2 linked regions of the Caenorhabditis elegans genome follow. The protein of the gene in region 2 binds, or shares a complex with, the protein of the main gene of each other region. Each region holds a gene or a part of one and is shown on either strand. Other genes may lie near its edges. The genes, in order: bicd-1 and nud-2.

The links.
Region 1: nud-2 (region 2) and bicd-1 share a complex: the UniProt entries of both Caenorhabditis elegans proteins name them as parts of the dynein-regulating complex.

Annotation. Positions count from the first base shown.
Region 1 is NC_003282.8:6,566,113-6,574,223, reverse strand, and holds the start of bicd-1 (Protein bicaudal D homolog), read left to right. Parts: upstream 1-1,887; 5' UTR 1,888-1,895; coding exon 1,896-2,096; intron 2,097-2,506; coding exon 2,507-2,983; intron 2,984-3,367; coding exon 3,368-3,505; intron 3,506-3,765; exon of another isoform or gene 3,766-3,786; intron 3,787-3,879; exon of another isoform or gene 3,880-3,900; intron 3,901-3,957; coding exon 3,958-4,150; intron 4,151-4,467; coding exon 4,468-4,655; exon of another isoform or gene 4,656-4,673; intron 4,674-4,739; coding exon 4,740-4,832; intron 4,833-4,885; coding exon 4,886-5,129; intron 5,130-5,298; exon of another isoform or gene 5,299-5,320; intron 5,321-5,820; coding exon 5,821-6,203; intron 6,204-6,306; exon of another isoform or gene 6,307-6,327; intron 6,328-6,710; exon of another isoform or gene 6,711-6,736; intron 6,737-6,985; coding exon 6,986-7,162; intron 7,163-7,402; exon of another isoform or gene 7,403-7,423; intron 7,424-7,875; coding exon 7,876-7,995; 3' UTR 7,996-8,111. UniProt on the Caenorhabditis elegans protein: Part of a complex with dlc-1 and egal-1, which is recruited to the nuclear envelope by unc-83, where in turn, it recruits dynein to the nuclear surface and regulates nuclear migration in hypodermal precursor cells.
Region 2 is NC_003279.8:7,856,971-7,861,379, forward strand, and holds nud-2 (Protein nud-2), read right to left. Parts: upstream 2,448-4,409; 5' UTR 2,434-2,447; coding exon 2,224-2,433; intron 2,139-2,223; coding exon 1,748-2,138; intron 1,699-1,747; coding exon 1,583-1,698; intron 1,317-1,582; coding exon 1,152-1,316; 3' UTR 786-1,151; downstream 1-785. Other genes in the region: apb-3 (AP-3 complex subunit beta), read left to right, coding at 1-304, 480-776. UniProt on the Caenorhabditis elegans protein: Part of a complex with lis-1, which is recruited to the nuclear envelope by unc-83, where, in turn, it recruits dynein to the nuclear surface and regulates nuclear migration in hypodermal precursor cells.

The sequences.
Region 1 (8,111 bases), on a different chromosome or scaffold from region 2:
TTGAATGAAGTCTATAAGACAAAGTTATAAATTTATAGAGATACTTTATGTATGTTTTTGAGATTTATTTTGTTACTAGATCTCAATTTTTCAATGGCATTTTAGTACTGTAGAGTGCAAGAGAAATCTAGCCTTATTCGAGAAATAAGTTTTTTACTGTTTATATTTTTTGATAAGTTTTTCAAAAATTTTGTTCGTTTAATGTACATCTTTTTTTTTAGTTCCAAGCGAAACACAATATTATTTTTCATACTGTAATACATATATTCGATTATTAATCAAAAATATTTTTTGTGTTGTTTAAAAAATTGTTTTTAAATTACAAGAAAAATTGCATGTCTGCAAAACTTTGATCGACTTCTGCAAATTTTTTAATAAGCTTCTACGAGTTTTACCCAACTGTTCTCTTGCATACGTAATTTAAATTTTTTCTCGTTTGATTTTTTTTTGTTATAATGACTAAAATGTTGTAACAAACCAATAAAAAAGAACACATAATAAAAATACCCAAAACAGAATTGGTTGGAAAAATATGCAATAGTTTGAAACATTACCCGAATTCTGAAAGGTTTTTAAAGTGAAGTAGCAAAATTTTTCAATTGATTGAAACATTAGAAAAGAGCCAAAACTTTCAAAAAATCTATACTTAGCGCTAAGACTGTCATTTTTTGTCGCAGCGTCTGGAAATGAATTGTTATAAAAGCATGATCAGTTATCACACTATTTTGTAGTATATTTTAAATTTATTGGAATACAAATGTTTCAAAATTTGAATGCCAGTAGAGTGCTTTAAACAATTCCGGAATAAAGACTCAAACTAGAAAATTAAGATGATAAATTGAAAAGTTGAAAAAAAGCCCGTTTCTAGATTTAGACTTTAGGAGAATGCGATTTTTAAAAATAATTTTCATCCGGCATAACTAAAAAATTTTCAAAATTTTCAAGAAATCACATTATGAAATTCGGCCATTTATGCTCATTTATAAACAATTGTAGTTAATTTTTGTACAATTTCTGTCGCTGAGTGCAAAAATAAGTAACCAAAGTCTTCAGAGCATTAAGGTAGTTTCGCCCAAAAATTTAAATTCTAGGTTTAAGCTTAAAACGAGAGCTATTCTTTGACAGTTATTACTCGCATGGTTAATATCAGTTCCTTGAAAATCAATCAATAACCCCAAAACCATATCATTTTATGTGACTAAACTTTCCTTCCAAAAAAAAAAGAAAAAAATGATCTGACTCATCAATTTCCGGTGATTTCCCCCGTCTTCCGTGCTCCACCCAGAACGGTTTGCGGAGGCATTAGAACAGTAGTCTCGCCCCGCATTTGTGTCGATTTTGGCTGCCGAGTGAACAAAAAAAACGAAACAGCACTCAATATTTGTGTCAGGTCAGCCACTCTTTCTTCCATTCTCTTCTATTTGTTTTTTGTTCATTTCTATTCCCTATTTCTCTCTATTCTCTTTAGTCCATTCTTCATTTCATAATTCTACTGAAACTAGTGTTACCTCTATCTCTAAACTCTCCTCTCAACCTGTACTATTTCTCTCGCGGGAGCCGAAAACGAAAACCTTATGAATATACAATTAGTTTTTCGACACCCTCTCCTAGTCGACAAAACGCAAATTTCCAAAATTGAACCTGTCGCACTAATATCTTGGAAATTTTGAAATTTACTTATTCCTGGTTTTGTTTAATTTTTGTTTTTAAAAGAAAATGTGGTCATTTGAGAACATTTTATTTAAATTTAAATTTTTAAATTTTTTCCTGTTTCAAATTGTAATTATTTCAACAATTTTTTAAAGGAATACTCAGTGAAGTATTTTTCCCCCTTTTTAAGTTATTTTCATGTTTGATATTTCCAACTCTCTAACATTTAAATTTCAGCAGCCACAATGGCTGAATCAGAATTGGAGAAGCTTCGTCAGGATATTGCAATCCTTACAGAAAAATATGAACAAGCCAAAGAAGATATTCATAAGGCAGCAAATGCGGGTTTAGAATTGCTCCGTCAAAAGGAAGATCTAGAGAAACGATTAGCAGAGATGCAGGCAGAATTGGATTTGGCAAGAACTGAAATTGATAAAACTAATCAGGTAAGTATTCGATTTCGAAAATAAAAATCGGAAAAAATATTGAAAAAAAATTAATGTTTCAAGTAAATGGTAAATATTCGAAATTTTTCGTACTATTTCATTTATTTTTAAAATATAAGCATGCAACTATCAAAAAAATTTTATTCAGACTTACGCAGGTAGGTAACAAAAATATAGGAAAATTTTTCACTTTTTTCGTTTTGTTGCAGTCATTCTTACCATTTTTTTTAAATATTTCATAAAATTTTGAACTGTAAAAATATAGAAAAATGAACAATCAACATTTTTGTCAGCTTACAATTTTTGATGAAGATGTATGAGCTGCCAAAATTGAGCTTAACAAAAGACTAGTAAAGTGTTAACAAAATTATTATTGAAGCTCAAGTTGTTCAAGTTGCTCTTATTTTCAGACTCTTGCTGAATACCGTTCCCAACATCAACGGTCCACTCGAAGTGAACTCGAAAATGAAGAATCTCTACTCGAGGAAAGTTCAGCAAAAGAAGAGGAATATCTACAGAGAATTGCAAAATTAGAAGCAGATCTTAAGAAAAAAGAACAAGAATTGGCAGAAAAGAAAGAAGAATTGGAAAGTATTGAAAAGAAACATTCGAAAGAAATCGATTCTGGAGCTGCATTAGAAGATGAAAGAAGAAAACTTAGAGCTGAATTAAAAGAAACAAAAGAAAGAGAACAAAGATTAATTTCTGAATATTCAGAGTTAGAAGAAGAAAATATTGGATTACAGAAGACTGTTGCAAATTTAAGAGGAAGTCAAGTGGAATATGAATCATTAAGAATTGATAATAATCGATTGGAAGAGACTATTGAAATTATGAAAATGGCTGCAGAGGAAGATGAAATATTAAGAGTTATTGCTGACAAACAGGTGAGACACTTTGAAAAATTACAACTCTCTCAGAAACTTTAACAAGTTTTCCTAAAAATATGTGAATAATTTCAAACATTTCCCTATTTGTTTGGAATTGCAACTGCAAAAACATTATGAAATTTTCATGTCTATTCACTATTTATTTTTGATCACGATTTGAATCGTAATAAATACAATACAATACAATACAAAATTTATTAGGTGATTGAAACAGTAAAAAAAACGAAAACTAGACAACTTTTATTTTAATTTTATAACCTGTTATTATTATTTTATAGCTCCCGTTTTTCATTGAAATTTTTGAACGGGTCGCCTCAATGTATATTTTCAAAACCTCAATTTTTGTATGAAAAACTTTCCAACTTATCATAAATATTTCAGCTCGAAGAAGCTCTGCTCACAGCTCAACAAGAACGGGATCAGCGATTGGCAATGAAAAGAGAATTAGAACAGACAAGAAATGCAGAGCATATCAGTAGTTTAAATGATATGCTTTTTGGATTGGAAAGGCTTGGGGAGGTTTGTTTTTTTTGTTAAAAAATTAAAACAATTAACTTTTAATAAAAGTTTGTTTTCCTATTTTAAAAGTTCCTGTGAAATTTTGTTAAAACACTTATATACAAAATGTCTTTTGTATACGTGAATTTTAAAAATACATTTGATAACTGATAATTTGAAACTAAACTTAACAAGTTGGGAAGAAAAAATTGCTCTTAAAGAAAAATGAGCTTCACATGTTTCGTATTCAATTTATATTGGCCAAGAGGAGTGTTGTAGGCTTGTTCTTTCGGTATCGATTTTTCTATTATTTAGTCAAATGTTATTTTAATATTTCTGTGTTCAAAAGGCGCATGAAATGGCAGAAACACTTGAATTAATTGTTGAATGAAAGTGTGGCACATGCTTTTAACGGACCACACGCTCAACACCAAACATTTTTGTATAAATCTTATGAAACAGTAATTTTTTAGGACGGCGAACTGCCACCTCCACAACCTGGAGCAAGTGACCTCTTCAGTGAATTACAAGGATCAAGTGATGTAAAAGTTCGTGAACTGGAAGCTGCAAAGGAAGGACTTCAAGAAGAATTAAAGAGCAGAGAGAAGATTTTCATCGAATTTGTAACCGGATTAGCAGACACCCTCAATATTCATAGACCAACAAGTGAGTTTAAATAGAACATTTCAGTTTGATTTGGAGTGTGATAAACCATTGAAGACATGGTGAAAAGTTATAACATTCAATTTTCACCAAATTTTTCAATGTTTCACATTCATTTCATATTGGTCAACGGTAGTATTGGAGTCTAGCGTAGATGTATGTAGTTTTTCAGAGTTTTCAGGGTTTTGGGTGAATAAAAGCTTCGCAAATTTCCTTTAAAATGAATATTTTATCATATTTACAATTAGTTATATTCAAAATTATTCAATTTTTAAAAAATTAGTTCCCCCGTGCATTCCCTAACAAAGTTTTCTTTACAGATGAGCTCGACTACATGCATGCTCGTCAACAAAAAGACGTTGTACTAGAGAAAATCCAGAACATTGCTCGTGACACTGACCGTCATGATAAAGAAGGAGAAGAAAAACGATCGGGAATTTTGAAGGCTGATTTGAGGACACTTGTATTGGTTGCTGGAGAGAAAAGTGCTCAGTTGGCAGCTGCTCAAGTTAGTTTTTGAATTAAATCATAAAAGTTTCATATTGCGAACCAAATTAAGAACATTATGAAAATGTAAATGTTGAAAATTCAGGACGCAATGATTCAAGTCTCCGATCAACTTTATCAATTCTACCATCAAATGACACAGAACCAAGGAGTTCAAACAGAAAAGAGTGTACAAGAGGTAAATTTTATTTTAATATTTATAGAAAATGAACAGAACTTTGTATATTTCAGATTGTGAAAAAGTTGCGTCTATTGGCTCGTGCCAATGCAGAAGACGTTCCACGTGTCTCGTTGGCAGATGAAGGAGTTGAAAGTGGAACAGAGACAGATGTTAATGCATCAAGATCAATTCCATTGAATTCCGATCGTCTTGTTATTGCGCCAAGTTTTGCGAAGGAAATTGAGAAAAAGTTGGCAAGTGTCAAGATTGGCGATGTGTTGTCAGAGACTGATTTGAGGCAAAGAATACTTACTGGTTTGTTTAGTTTTTGAATCGCAAAAAAGAGCTGGATACAAAACTTTTCCAAAAATGTACAAGTTTTAGAGAAGATGCTACAATTAAAAAAAACAACGAGATTTTACGAAAGACAAATAAAATTACTGTTTCAACCAACTTTTATCATAAATTGGGTTTATATTAGCTATTTGAGTCGAGGTTTCAACACTACATTGAATTTACTGTACTTACTGTATACTTAGTATACTTAGAATACTTACTGGTTTGTTTTTGAATCGAAAAATTCAAAAAAAGAGCTTTGCCAAAAGACAATTCTTCTTCAAATACTTCATTTGGTTGAAAATATTTGGAATGTCTAGCAATATTTAAATCGATTAATAGAAGCAGGAAAAATTTATTTTTTATTCGAATTAAATTTTTCAAGAATAATTATTAGTTTTAGAGAAGTTGCTGAAATAAAAAAAATTTTGGAAGATAAATAAAATTACTGTTTCAACCAACTTTTTTTTTCCATAAATTGGAATTCTATGAGCAGTATGTTTTTCAATATTGCATTGAATTTACTACTTTGTATCAAACATTCATTTAAGGTTTGATGGCGTTAAATTTAAAGAGTGATTAAGACTCTTGATATTAAACGTTACAACTTTCAATTTGCCAATATACATCTCATTCTCACATTCGAATATATTAAATACATTATTTTCAGAAGGAAATGCCATTTCCGAAACCACAGAATCGTTGAAAAAGATGATTCAAGTGGTGAAAAGAACCTCTGAACAAGCATTCAATCAAGCAGTTATGGCAAGTGGAGCTGAAAATGAAATTGAAATGCAGAATATGAAATTGCGAAGTCTTTTATCAACAAAACGAGATCAGATTTCAACGCTTCGAACTGTTTTGAAATCGAATAAGCTGACTGCTGAAAGTGCATTGACTTCAATGAGAGAAAAATATGAATCAGAAAAGAAAATGATGATGGAAATTAATGATAAAATGAGAAGAGAATTGAAACAATTGAAGGAAGATGCTGCCACGTTTGCATCTCATAGGGCAATGTTCACTGCAAGAGGAGAGGAACTCAAGTCAAAGGTATTTAGTTTTGTTTTGAAACAGTTAGGAATTTCTAATTTCGGGAAAAGTATAGCTTTTATAATATGACATACGGTAGCTCTGTTTAATTACTAATTCAAACATTTCCATTCCAGATTCCCTATTACAAAATAGATATACTTAAATTGTATCTGTAGTAGTTGAAACAGAAACTATTTTTAATATTTAAACTTTTTAGGGTTATTAACTTTTACTTTGAATTATTTTTCTCGTTGGAAAAAAAATCGTTTTCTCAAAATTTACAAATTTTTATTTGGAGTCAAGTTTCTGACCTGGCAGCTTAATGAAAATTTCTCAAGTTAGTTGCTTTCTCAACAGCTAAACGTTAACAGATATTGACTATAGTTTGACAGAAGTTGTCAAGTTTTTAAAGAAAGTTTCCCCCAAATGCCGAGTTGATAGATGCGATCATCTTCTAATTAAAACTTTCCGTAAATGAAATTACTGTTTCACAAAGGATTTATTTTGAATTGAACTTCATTTTAAGTTGATAGTCATAGGGGTATATCTAACCATTTTCTCACTTCTATTGTATCTGTAGCAGTTGAAACATACTTTTTTTTTAATTTTCATCTTCGTACAGTTTGTTTACTTTGAATTATTTTTAACATTTAAAACTCGATTTGTTTTTTACTTGAATTTAGTGTCTGAACTCTGAATTTGAAAAAAACATATGGTCAAAACGCAATATTTTATCACTTTAATCGTATCTGGAGTAGTATCTTCTGTAAATTTTAAAATCAAATTTAACAATTTTCCAGGTGGAAGAACTATCAAACGAGTTGCGTGCAAATGAAGAGGAAAAGAAGACATTAAATCAACTTCTTCGTTTAGCAATTCAACAGAAGCTCACATTGACTCAACGTTTAGAAGAGGTTGAAGTTGATCGGGATAGGCAGGTATTTAAGAGGAGTAGTACAAGAGCTCCAACTAGAGAGGTGAGATATTAAAGGTGTAGTATCGTCCAATGTGACGTCTTTAATGGAATCACTGATTAAAAACCATAAAAATTAAAACAGTCTTTTTTTTAAAAATTTTTTTAAAAATAACTTTTTTAAAGTTCTTTATGACCCATTTTCTCTAATTTGAAGAAAAATCTCAACAGACGATACTCCGCCTTTAATTATGTTCACTGTTTCAAAACATTCACAAAAAAATGTTGAAATTTCAAAAAGCAATGATTTTTTGATATACAGAACACATTGGAAGGCGGATTGTTTCTTTTGGGGAATTTTTTCGAAATTTATTTGATATGCCAAGAATAACAAAGAAAAAACGAAAAAAATTGGAAAATTTAGTTTAAAACGATAAAAAAAACCTTTTAACAAAGACACAAATCTTTCGCCAAACGTACAAAACTGCCTTTTTAATATGACAATCCAATCTTTTTAAATCTTCAATTGATTGGTATGGAAATGCAGAAAAAACTTTAATTTTGGTGAAAAGCTTGAAAAAATCTTGAAATAGTGCTCGAAAGTTGAAGTTTTGCCAAAAAACTTTACGCACTTTTAGCTACAAACGGCAATTTTCAAGCACTATGTTATGATTTTCTGGAAAAGTTTTCGACAAAATTAAACTTTTTCTTACTTTGAAAAATCCAAAAAAATTGTTTTTTTCTTCTAGAAGTTAATTTAATCTTCTCCGTTTTCAGACCTACCAGCCACCGAGAGCAGTTCGTTATCCGGGTTCAACAACAACAGCTCAACAGCCAGCACCTTCATCTTCGGGGGGCTCGAGGGGAGGGCCACGCAGGGGAGACAATCAGCAATAAGCTGGTGGTCAGGTGATGACGTGACAACGATGAGAAGACGACGAACACCTACACCAGAGGATCCAAATGATCAAGAATCAATTAATACACAAAACCACGTCATCACCACGTGGCCC
Region 2 (4,409 bases):
AATTGAACTTTTGAATGTAATTGAAGGAAACGGGCTAATATTATCAATTAGTTATCCGCGTATTAATGATGGACAATACACGGCTATTCGATTTGGAATCACAAACAAAACCGATGGAGATTTGTTAGGAGTTGAATTAAAAACTGAAGAAGGTCTCGATGTGAAGGGAAACTCGATTATTGGAGATATTCCGTCTGGAGCACGAGTTTCTGTTGATTTGCTCGTAGATTTTGGAGATAGTGCGACAAGTAGAGAATGGATACTTACAAGAGATGATGGTCATGAGAAGCATTTCAGATTTGAGGTAATCTTTTAAATAGTTTCAGAGGCTTTTAAAATTATTTTTTCCACAAAAAAAATTGAAAAACGTAAATACTCCCTTGATGGTTAATATTTTATATCAAAACTTGTATAATTCCTGACTAGATTCCACAATCCGCATCTTTTAAAGATAAACTAAATTTTTTCCTAAATTCTAGGTCCCATATGGTGAGCAAGTTCAACCAATTCGTCTGTCTCCAGAAGATATTTCAAAAGAAAGAAGTCGTCTTGGAGGTCTCAATCGGCATGTGATACAACTCGAAAATCCCATTAATCCTTCGTCAATTGCTCTATTTGTTAACGCATTTTCTTCGGATTTGACCATTTTCACTTGCCAGACACGTTCACGAAAGGATGTTTGTATTCTGACAGTTTCAGAAAAATCGATTGAGTGCTGTTGTGACAACTCGGTGATAGGACGAATGCTGGCGTTCTCTGTCTCCAAAAATTGCTAGAAAGATTAATTCAAATTGTATTTATTTATTTATTTTGCTCACTTTTTCTTGAAATCATTCCTTTACTAACTATTCATGGTGACGGATATATAAATTTTTAACAGAAAAATTAGAAATATGTAGGCACTTTAGAAATTTGGAAAATAATGTGGGTGAATGGCGAACGTGGAACTTATATTGAGCAACAGTAAGGCGGGGCAAATAAAATCGGGGTCTAATACCAATTGGGTGGGAATAAAACATAAGCATGATACAGGATGTCATGGAAAAGAATAATAACGGAAAGAAACGAAGGAAATGATGAAATGGAGGATCCCTGAGTGAATGAAAAGTCACAGTATGCGAGAAAGGTGAGAAAAACCAAAAAATGAAATGTTAAGCCCGTGTCGTTGTAAGATGACTGGAATTGTTGTTAGACGAGTTGTTGCTCACGCGAATCGTCGATAAAATTGAATCGAGCCGCTCGACTTTTGTCATCAGGTCTTTGACGATTCGATTGATGCAAGCACCGGCGCCCGTACCGGTAGATACTCGTTGGCTCTGAAAGCTATGTAAATGTTGGCTGAGAACTATAAATGGGTTAGCAAATATTGTTTTTTCGGTCTATTCTGCATCTAGAGATGCTATCGTTTATAGTTGTGAGGGAAAAAAGAATTAGAACTCGCTGCAAGAGTTTTTCGACTAAATGTTTTTCATTCCGAAATAAGGTGTGAAGCTATTAATTGATCGAAATTTGCAGGTCTTCTTTGAATTAATATTTGGATATTTACTTTCAAAAATCCACCAAAAAAAGAAAATTTACGTACTTTTTCTTGAATATTTTTATTGTCATCGATGCGCACTTCGTCAATTTTTGCAATAGTTTCCTCCATTCGAACATCTTCGTGGTGCTGCACGTCTTCCATGAAAACATCTTCCGAGCCTTAAATAGTACTAGTTATTTTCATTCTCAAAATGCGACAAATACTTACTCATTTTAAACTCTTCTTTACTTGGACCTGGGGATGGCTCGTCCGGCAGAATTTCTGGATCATTCCTCAATGGTTCTACAATCAAACGTGGCCGTTCTGTTGTTCGAAGTTGTTCTTCTCGTAATCTATGCATTTCTTCAGCAGCAACTTGCCGTTCATAAAGCTCACTTTCCAACATTGCTATCTTTTCAATAGCATGATCCAGTTTCGATCCGAGATCAGATGCTAGATATTCCTTATTTCTTTCTGATGTTTCGAGCACATCGTTTCTCTGTTCCAGTTTTCGAATTCTTTCTCTCTGACTTTCACATTGTTCATGAAGATGTGAGTTTTCTCGTCTTAATTGCTCTTCGACTTGTGCAAATTGTACACGGGAATCGTCCTGTCGATCCTTTAAAATTCACAAAATTCAAATTATAGTTGAAAAATTTTATAAAGTTTTTTTTTTCAATTTTAATGTAAAAAATAGTACCAACCTTGTTCCTAATTTGCTCTGTGGTCATCTGCTGTACTCTGGTTTCTGCTTTTTTCAGTTGTGTTTTCAAATCATCCAATTCTGAATCCATCATTTTCTCAATTTCCGCGGAACTTGTCTGGAACTCGTTAAACTCTTCGCGCATTTGCAAGAAATGACCAAGAAGCTCATGGTGCGGTAGTCCGCGAATTTGATCCTCAGACAAATCCATTGATTTCTGATGATCTGAAAATATTAAAGGTTTAGAAAATTGTTCAGGATATTCAACAAAAATTATGAATCGTAGGAAAAAACGTATAATGCCGCCTGTGAACACACTAAACCCTTACAACGTTCGGCCACGTGTGGACAAAAAGTGAGAGAATAGAATGGACATTTGGGAAAGAGAGAAAAAGAGAACTGGTCGAACGGAGGAAAACAGAAGCAACTACGTATTAGTTGCTACCGCAAATGGATGTTTTTTGAGGTTTAACGATGTTGAAGAAAAGTCTCAGTATTCTTATAAATCGGGATATCTAAGGTCGCCATCATCTGATAGACAGCTAAAGTCATCTCTCTGAGGAAAGATGGAAAATCCTCCAAAGTTTTTGACACAAGGCATTCGAGCAAACAAAAAAGTGGGGGTGCTCCGGCTGCTCCGGCCGCCGTGTGCTCTGTGTTTGTCCTTGCTCCCATAGCTCGTCCGCACTTCCGCTACAAAAAGTCGAACAGCTGTGCGAGTAACACCAATAGGCAATAATTTTAAGATCAGATAACCTTTGAAGATTTCAAAATACTTTGAAGGAAAATTTTACTGTTTTTTGGGTTTAATACACTGATGAAGTTCAAAGAAATCTGCTATAAGAAACTAATTCCGAAAAAATTAACACTTTTTGTAAATAGAATAGAATAGTCATTCAAGAAAATCTGTGTTAAAAGAAAAATTGGTAAATTTCTTCAAAGAGTATTCCAGAAATGGCAATCAATTTTAGTAATCGATAATTAAACTTCGGAAATAGAAATTAAATTCATATAACAGTCCAATTTCCCACACGAAATTCAGGTCAAACTCACGATAGGCAGCAGTCGGAGGAATGGGGAGCGGCAATGGTCGCGTATAATAACTGATAACAAATAGAATAAGGAATGCAGAATATATTGAGCATATTATTTGAAAGATTTTCAAGTTAAGCGGGTCAATTTAGTTGTAACGATTGAGACTAATGATGTAAGTGAGAATTTGGAGAGAATGAAATGTATTAACAAACATTTAAAAAATGAAATTCCAAAACGCCTACGCATGACTCATCGAGTTGTTGAGTTCTAATTGGATTAGGTGTGGTGAACACAGAAAATCGTACGAATTAGTGAACAGAAACACGAAACCGGTTGAGATAATAAATGACCAATTTCAGCGGTTAATATAGGATTCACGAATCACTGGGCCACGTCACGAGGAGAGTTGGGGGTGGTATAATCTGTTTTTCGCGTTTTTTCCCGCGCCGCAGTACCACACCTAAATTTGATATTCGAAAATGTAAATGAACGAGAAAAGTGCTTCACATACACACAAACTATACGATTCATCTATTTCCTATTCAGGTCGACATGACACGATCAAGGTTAACATCACTCTGCTGAAGAATTGAATAGTACGAACAGGTGAACAAAAAAAGAAAGCGATCGTCGCAAAAGATTCCTCCACATTGAGAAGCCTATCAAATCAGTATTTGACTTCACTCGTAAAGTGCCAATCGAAGAGCGAGAGCTCTGTGTTGACATTTTGGTGCTCTGACAAACTGAACTGATCATAAAACTTTTTTGTTCGGGGGCAAGCAAAAGCTGAGTAAATACGTGTTTAGCAATGAAAATGCCGAGTTTAGAAACACTCAAAACTGCCAAGAATAGAAGACAGAAATTTCGTAAAAGAGTAAATGGTGCAAAATTTCAAAGCAATTGTTGAAAATTAAAAGAAGAAAAAACATTTAGTTTAAAAGATGGTTTCAAAAATCTGTTACACAATATGTCGTCAAATATGCTGCATTAAAAAACTTGCGTACTAAGAGAACTACAGTAATACATATATTTTCAATGCTCGCCCGGAAAATTAATTGAAAACGTTCAACGAAGAATTTTGAATTTGGCCTAGTGGAAAATAATAATTTCAAAGCCATCTTTTCATGACGATAAATCTCGAAATCGTCCACC